Arabidopsis thaliana: one gene and its partner. The protein of the gene in region 2 interacts with the protein of the main gene of each other region in a pairwise test. Each region holds a gene or a part of one and is shown on either strand. Other genes may lie near its edges.

What was found. Proteins that work in one complex are often made in the same cells at the same time.
Region 1: the proteins of AT2G43220 (region 2) and AT1G75710 interact in a two-hybrid assay, tested with the Arabidopsis thaliana proteins (one large-scale study listed by BioGRID).

Annotation. Positions count from the first base shown.
Region 1 is NC_003070.9:28,427,046-28,431,906, reverse strand, and holds AT1G75710 (C2H2-like zinc finger protein), read right to left. Parts: upstream 3,237-4,861; 5' UTR 3,102-3,236; coding exon 2,515-3,101; intron 2,427-2,514; coding exon 2,329-2,426; intron 1,483-2,328; coding exon 779-1,482; 3' UTR 568-778; downstream 1-567.
Region 2 is NC_003071.7:17,962,420-17,966,741, reverse strand, and holds AT2G43220 (Cysteine/Histidine-rich C1 domain family protein), read right to left. Parts: upstream 2,524-4,322; 5' UTR 2,403-2,523; coding exon 786-2,402; 3' UTR 531-785; downstream 1-530. Other genes in the region: AT2G43230 (Protein kinase superfamily protein), read right to left, coding at 82-149, 235-267; AT2G43210 (Ubiquitin-like superfamily protein), read right to left, coding at 3,182-3,420, 3,511-3,753, 3,942-4,322.

The DNA of each region.
Region 1 (4,861 bases), on a different chromosome or scaffold from region 2:
AACTTCTGAATTTTAACCTATGCTAGACATATTTGTTGTAAAACTCGAATATTAAACTGGTTTGATTCTAAATCTCTGATTTCATTTGCAACTCCAAGGAGAAATCGAGTTATTATAAAAATAAACAATGTAGCAGCTTCTGACAACGAGGAAAGTTCCAATGGTGCACCCTCTCAGCGTGCAAGCCTTTTTTATTTATGGGTAAATTTTGAACTTATCTGAACCATACCATATAACTACTATTTCCTTCTTCTTTTTTTGACAACACTATATAACTACTAAATTAAAACTATACAATACCCAACTTTTACAAAATCAGCTTTCCCTATAAATATTTCTTAAAAAATAACGAAAAGAACTTGGGTGAATAAAATAATTTACTGAAAACGCATGTGATAGCAATTATATCACTCTGCCACTCCCACACTATTTGATTCCCACCAAGTGTGAACACAGCTATGAAATTTACCATAGTTAACAAAATGTTACATTTACTGGTCAAAAAGCCTAAATTGAGAAATAACACGTTAAGTTCATCATAATTCATAATCATGATTTTTAACCCACTCGACTACTGAATTCTTAACCTAATCATGATTTTCAATAATAGAGATAACCAAGAACATATTAGCTTAGACTCCTGAGAATTACACTTAATAGTCAATAATAAGATGGGAATTATGATGCAGGTTGATGATTATCCCTAATCTCTCCCTATAATATTAAAAAGTTAGAAGTACAAAAAACAAACATTATTTCTCAAGTTAAAATTACAAATTCAAGATTCTAAAACTTTGTAAATAACCACGAAGCAAGGTAATATAGCTCTCGGGTTATAAACCACAAGCTCCTCAAGATTCGAATAAACTCCAGCATTGACCGCCACCGAGTCAAACGTACCACCACTCGAAGAAACTCCAACCACCGAGTTATCCTCCACCGTTGACTTCTTCTCCGCTGTAGCCGAAGCATCCGCCGCCGGTAAATCAACTCGCTTAACTCTCCCAGCGATCACACGGCACACAAGCATCACTCTCCTCGCATCATCGCTACACCTCAGCAAATCATCAGCTCTTCCGCTGCTCGCCGTCGTCCTCACACCGGCGTTTGCGACGTTGGCTCCTCCGCCACCAGATTTTCCTTGGAAACCGTGGCGAATCACGGTGCAGACGCCACAAACAGGGAGGTTAGAGCAGAGAGAAGAAGAGCCACGAGCTCCGAGTGAACAAGTGAGAGTGGTGCAGTGAAAACGTAAGAGCTCGTTGCCGTCGGCGGCACAACGAGCATCTTTTCTGGTTGCTTGAAGTGCACGCGCCTTCACTGCGTCTCGGCAATCCTCAAACCGTTGGATCGTACGTTGAGTGTTGTGGACTTTTAATATCCGTTCGATCTGACAGATGGGACTGTCTTTTTTAAGCCAGCTTGATTTGAATATGATCTCCACTATGTTTCGACCCGAATCCTCCGGACCTAACTCCGAAACTGCAATTAAACGACAACGTTTTTGCTCATAAAATCAGGAAAAATATGCAAGTCAAAACAAAAATCTGAGTTTTTGGGACATTAAAGACAGTTCTATAATTCGGTTTTTGTCAGGTGAGGGGTTTTAATTCTGATACTGTCGAATTGAAAAATGACACGTAATATTTCAGGGGGACATTGAATTTAGTTAAGAGCAGAGACAGCTGTTTCTTTTTATAGTACAATGGTCCCATCGCATGGTAAGTGTTTCCAAGCAAAACGACGGATTTGGAGACCATAGAATATATCTTGTTCTCCAGTTATATTCCTATTCTCTTTTGTATCTTTCTCTAAAAATACGTATGAATCTCTATTCCAAAAACAATCTGTAACATACGGCCAAATCATCCTAACTTATTTGATCGATATAATCACCGACAATAACACTGAGATCTTGATTCCATTAAGAAACAACGAAGTCTAAGATATATATTAATGAAAGCATGTTCGTTAATTATTTGCTTAGCATTATGGTAAATCTATCGATAAATCCAAGGGCCTATACGCCGGAAAACATGTGTTAATGCTAATTATTCAATCAATACTAAACAAACAAAGGTTGTATCATCATTCACAAGTCAAATCATGGACTGAGATCTTAAGTTTTTTTCCAAGGATACAAAACATAATCTTACTTTGCCAAGCCATTCGCATTTACGAAAATCTCACTAGATACTTAGGGTTAAATTTAAAAATGTGACTACCACACACCAAAAAATAAAAAATTGTAGCTAAAGCGTAATTAATTAATTTGAGGTAAGTGATAAAGTCAAACAATTTTTGTTAAAAGGAAAAAAAAAGCCTTACCTGCGTGACGAACTGCTTGATGAAGCTCTAAGCTTTCAAGCTTGGGGAAAACTTCTCCACATTGGGAACAAGCACAAACCCTAGGCGAAATCGGATACCTAAAATTCAAGAACATGAAAATGAAATTACAAAAATATAATTCAGAAGAACATTTACTTACTCATAATTAATTTTTGGTGTCATTACCTGCTCGGGTCAACGATCATGTGACATTCGTAACATCCGGAGAGTTTACGGAACTGCATGGCTCTAAACGAAGTCGTTGACGATGACGTGTAACTCCCACTGGCGTTAGATCTCGTTGAGCCAGATGTAAGAGACCGAGACGAAGAAGAACCGTGTTGACCAGGTTTCCGAGTCAGAAGCCGAGTCTCCGAGTTAGGAGTAGCCGAGTTACCTACGTCTGGTGAGTGATCAGCTCTATGAACCACACGAGTGTTGCCGTGAGCCACGTCTCTAAAGCTGCAAATGGAGCTGCACGACGAGCCAAGCTTGGAAGGAGATAAGTTAGTTGTCATGGACGGACCAGATTGAGAGTTCTTGGAAGGATCATGGACTCTTGACCCTTCGATTTGTTTGCAAGTCAATAGGTTCTTGATTTGGTCCCATGAAGATGGCTGCTTCGGAGGTACTGCTTTCTTCGGTTTCTGCGGTTTATGTTTCTGTGTCTGCGTTTGGTCGGTGGGATTATCGCGTTTCTTTCGTTTGCTAGACGTTGGCTTGTGTTTTTGTGGCGCCTCTGCGTTCTCCGGCAAGAAAGTTAGTAAAGCCATTGAAAGAAGAAAGAAACTCTTGAGAATGTGAGAGTTTCTTTTGTGTTCGTCTTTATGGTTCTTTAATTATAAGCTTTTATTTTTAGGTGTTGAAATCGAAGATGGATCCAAGATGGGTAATAAGGAGGGAAGAAGATTAAAGTAGTGGGCTCTATCTTTCTTTAATTCTTTATTTTACAGTTTTACTTTCTTACCCTTCTGATTAATATTCTTGTCGTTCGAATTTATTAAAATTATAATCTTTTAATAGAAAATAGGGTACTAATTTAACTATATTCAGATATCTTGTTTTGTCAGAGAAAAATATCTTTCTAATTAATTTTGGCATCTGGTTGCTTGCTTTGTTAGTTGTGGATTTTCCTCAAAAGAAAAAACAGTATTTAATTATGGATTTTGGATAGATAGTAAATTACTTTTTTGATGATTATAAATTAGTTAGAAGATCTTGAAGTTAATTTTTTTGGACGAGCTTGGTTGGCTTTGTATGTGCTTTAACTGCTTCATCTATAATCTTCCATTACAGTTTGACCTTCTTAAAGGCGGAATTAGTCAACGTCACTGATGTTTATATTGGTAGTATTGATTTGTTTGGTTATTATACTCAAAACTTTGAATGGAATCTCTTTATTAATAGTCGTTACTACATAATAAAAATGTATAAGTTCACCATTAAAACAAGTTTGATGACAGAAATAATTAGTTTTAAAAATCAAAGTTTGGAGATTCCATGAATGCAAGCAAGACAACAAGAAAAGAAATGGAATTAATTAGTACATCAAAAATATAATAATAATAATAATTCTAAAAATGATGTTGTTGATATGTATGGTCAAAAGTATTTTTTTAACAGAACAAGATTACACGTTAAACACCAGACAAGGTCTTTGGAAACTTCGTATTTGGAACTGTGATTACGGATTCCAAATGTTCTATTTGTCTCGATTTGAAAATTTCAATGCTCTTAATTCCTTGTTTCCTAAATAGTTTGGTACATTTATATCATTTTTACTTCAATAGTTTTTGGTCTCAGTTTGTATGTAAGTATTTCAGATTTATGCAATGTATTACTTCATATTGATAGACTATTTTTTTCAAAGTAATTAGGATAGGGTGTCATAAACTAATCTCAGTACAGTAAATAGAGGTGGAGTTACACTTGAAGTTTGTGTAAAAAAGTATGGGTGTAAATTCATTTATTAATATACTGATTATCATAAAAAACAGTTTAATGCACTAAATAAATAATAATTTAATGTGTAATAAATGTCGACATTATGGGAAGAACATTTTTAATGTGATAACTCAAGTGAGCTTGTATATTTTTAGATTGTGGTAATTGCGTTCAAACACAACACACAATTTCGAGTAATTATATTAATCATTCATCATCAATAACATAAAAGTAAATTAATCATATTTAGGGTGAAAATTTGTAGCAATCAAAAGAAACTACGATTTTAAGGTTGATCGTTGACTATATGTAAAATTCTAAGACCTTCACATTCGCCGCAATACTTGGATTTATCACGCAGTCGCTTTGGCCTTCTCACTTGTCGTGTTCCACATTTGTCCTTCTCTTTTGTTTTAAACTTTGGTTATAAAAATCACCAGAGATTGTTATAAAGTCATTTCGTTTAAAATTTTGTTAAATATGTTATGTTCATTGAGACAAAAGAAGAAACGAAGCGCGAGATCTTGAGAATATGTTTGATTCATAAACAAGTTTGAATTTCAAAAAACGAAAAGTAAAGTAGTAATTG
Region 2 (4,322 bases):
CTGCCTTCAAATCAACAGGCTAATAACAACAATTGTCTATCATGATCAACACAAAGGCAAATTAGGTTTCTTTATAAATACATTTGTAGATAAGTATTTTCAAATTTTGTAAAAACATTAGAATTTGTTGCGCGTTGATCTTGATTGACCTAAGACCATTACGTGATCTCAAGACATGATTTAAATAAGATGACATTTTTAATGATCAAAGCTGTGTTTGCGTGTAATGCTTACCACTTGACCACGACGATGAAAATCACGATCCATCAGAAATCAGAATGCAATTTAGAAACAAACGATCAACGAGCAATAAACCAGAGAGACGAATCAAAAGGAAAAAATGTTTGTAGACAAATGAGAGGCAGAGACGAAAGGAGGTGATGAGCTCGTGGAGAAATTTAGGAATGAAAAAAATTTGGAATCCCAAATAACTACGGAAAAGAAAAGACAGAAAACACAAAAGATAAAAGAAAAAGCTAAGAAAAGAAAGAAAACGTCAAAAGGAAGCGACAGAGAGGCGTGTGATCAAGAATAGAACAAACATCCCAATTTTGGTGAATTATAATAAAAGGTGTGAAGAATAATTACCTTCAAAGTCTCTCTCTCTCTCTTTCTCTCTTTCTCATAAATAGTTTTATGAACTGAATGAGCAAACCAACAATAAATCCAAATATAGAAAACAAGTTTATCTGAAAATAATTGAAAAACATTACACAGCCTCCATCTGTAAAAACCCATATTCTTTTTATGTTTCCAAATCCTTCCTTTCGCCTTCCTTCAGGCATTCAGAATTTCGCATTCTGAAAACAAGCTTTTGAGCAATAGTAGTACTCAATATTTTTTCTAGTAACCTTGAAAAACCTAGGGAACCTACAACGAGAGCCACAATCAGTGCATTTTGGTCTAGAATCGTGATCGTTGAAACCCACTTCAAACTTATTCTCCCTGTTCTTCATTATTATTCCAGGTTTTATGTTCAAAAAGTCCCCGGTTACGCATTCAATATGGCACACGACCCCACAATCATCGCATGTATAGAACCATCTTTCAGGATTGGTTTCGGCTTCACAGATTTCACACCAATATTTACCTTCAGGCGCCTCCTCCCCAGAGCGCAAAACTAAATAATGTGTATCACACCTATGCTTTATGACTAATGGTAGAGTGGCGCATTTGTAATCCAAAGAATAATCACAATCAACACAACGCAGCACATTGAGTTTATTCTCACCGCAAGCTAAGCAAGTACCACGATCTATTGTGGTTAGAAATAACGTGTGAGGATGAAGTTTGGGGTGCTTGAAGAAAGAGAGAGACGCACACAACACATCGAGTACCACACCCTCTTCATCCTTGTAGCTAAAACCCCTTCCATCTCTATTGCAAGCATCACAACTGAAATTTTGTTCGCTAAAATCCTTCCCGAAGCGAAGATAAAATATACCTGTGGAAAGTCCATGTCGTTTCGTAAGAGGAAGATTCGCACACTCTTCGTGAAGAATAAACTTGCATTCCACGCACTTGTAGTGCTTCTCAGAAGAGACTGGACGGGCGCAAGCTTCACAATGCATGTCTTCAGCACCATCTATAAAAACATCCTCAATAAGGAATAAGTTATGTTTCTCGTGGGAGAAATGATAAATTACCCCTTCCTCGATCACTTCAAATGGCGCAACGTCTACTACTTCCTCAGGTATCCCTTCGAGTTCGGTCCCATCCCACACGTCTTTTCTAGTTGCACATTTTGAATGAACAAAAAAATCTGGACATTTGTTGCATGAATAGCCTCCGTACGTGGTGTTGATATCTTGACGACAGATTTCACATACCCAATTCCCACGTTTGAGAGGATATGAATGTGAAATGCGATGATCATGACGATTGATGTTGATGACGTGTGGTAGATCAATACAATCATAATGAAACATGACAGAGCATGGTAGGCATACATAAGGGTTCCGTTCACCATGCGTACCACAAGCATTGCAAGTGAAGGATACTTCCCTTCCCATGAGGGTGAGTGCATGCTCGTGGCACTTTGGATGATCCACTTTGTGGGGCGGGGGCCTGTTTCCGCATTCCATATCTATGCTGAAATTGCATAACTTACAATGGTAAACGAAGTTGGAGAGTTTCCGTTGACAGAGGCTGCACTTCTCGTCAGAGTAACTAGGTGGCCCTTGGAGGAGAACCTCTAGGGGATGGTTCGGGTGACAAGGGTGGTTAATATTCTTCGTTGACCTTGGCACGCAATAGGGATGCCATTTTATATTGCATCTGAAGCATCCATAAAAAACTTCAAAGAAGGGTATAGCACTCCTATGGCACTCTTGGCAAGTGAACATACGATATTTTTCATATAAAGGATGTTCGTGCCAAAAGAGGTCCAGCGTCTTAGCCATGGGCAATGTTAAGAATGGTTGTGGATACGATGAATGAATAAGGATCAGGGAACTTTAAGAAAATTGAAAAGGTTTAACTTCAATTCCTAATTGATCTCTAAATCCTTATATTGTTGACCCGTATCACTACCCACGATCTCCGATATAAATCACTCAAGTTGATCATCGTTAGTTGTACGCAACTAATAGAACTGGTTTAGTCTTTTCTTAAGGCTCAATTTGGGGGGTCCAAGTGTTTATTATATGTCAAAAAAATTATTTAGTTAGTCCGACTAATCTTTCACCGGATTATTAAAATGCGTACTCATCGTTGACTATAGAAATATATATTAAAAAATTGTCTGGTTGATCACATATATATGTTTTGTTATCCGAGTTGATAATATTTTGGAAGGTGTGAGGATGAGCACAAGGGAAACCGCTAGGAGAACAAGAAGCTGTCAGTGAACGCCTTTTCACAGTTCAATGAAGTCTTCACTTGCATAGAAAAGAATATACAGATTCTTATATTTAAGCAACCATTTAACTCTAATATTTTTGTTATGATTGGAACCGAAGTTAATCAAACGACACTAATTAATTTCTAGAACCGAATTTAATCAAACAGAAATTGCTAGTTTTTTTAGATTTAAATTTAATACGAGCAACCGAAAAAACGGAAACGCATCAGGATACATTTTGCAGCTGGTCTCTTAAATGGTTCATAAAGAGTCAAGTATAAAAAGTAAACACCCGAGCTGTTTCTGTATCTATCCACACAGATTTCAACTTCTCTTATTTCATCGTCTATCATTACTGTCTCCACCGCTTCCACCACCGTACTGTGTGGAGTTTCCGTTCCAAAAAGCGTTTCCATCACCAAACGGAGCCTCATCTTCATTGTGATTCAACGTATGGATGTTACTTCCAATCCGAGAAGTGGTTGGTCTCCTATTCCTAACGTTGCTCCTACCTTCTGATGGATCTTGAAAGGACGTCCCTACTTGCCCCAGATTGTTTCTCACCTCCGTATTTGGTCCTATAGATAGAAAAAGAGAGAATCAGATTAGCAATTACACGACTTTCTGCATTAGAATGGATTTTATAAACTCATCATATTCCCGCATACTTGTTTGACGTTCTGGAACAGAGCTTGATGCGTTGGCAGTACCACCGCCAAAATATGAAAACGGGTTTGCATAAGACAGTACTCTTCTAACATAAGCAAAGTAACCGCCACTATTAGGGTCTGTGTTGTTGTTAGACTCCGAGTAAGATGTTCCTCTTTGATAGACGGTTGCTCTTTTTCGCGGAACTACTACAAGTGCTTGTCTATCGAACAATCTCAACTCGGATAGAGACTTATCCAGATCTGCAGAGATTAAGAGTAATGGAGTTATGTATCTACTACACTAGTCCAAACTGACCAGAAAAAAAAAAAAAAAAAACCTAAATGGCAGAAAACATCATCTTCGATCAAGATGAAGCTGGTTTTAAGGTAAAATGTTCTTTACCAAATAAAAATAAAAATCTATTGGATGCATTGTAGATTTTACGTACCTTGGTCAGTATACACCTTACGTGGGTAAGGAACCGCAAGATCATAAGCACCCAGTCCGATTGTTTGATTACTGTTCACATAATCCTTGACCATTCTCAATATACTTGTCACAGAAAACTTCTCCTGAAGGCTACTACCATCAGGTAATCGAATGTTTAAATGAACGTCAGATGCTTTTTTGGATTTTTCTCCATCCTCTTCCTCTCCTCCTTCATCCTTTGGCTTCATGGTCTCTTTTGTATCGACAGATTTTGTTAGATTAATGTCCCTTCCACTAACACCTACACCACTATCCTCTTCATTTATCACAGTTCCCTGTTTCCTTTTTCTATCAACAGAAGATCGAACCCTGGATGTATTATCATTTGTTCCTGGGGCTG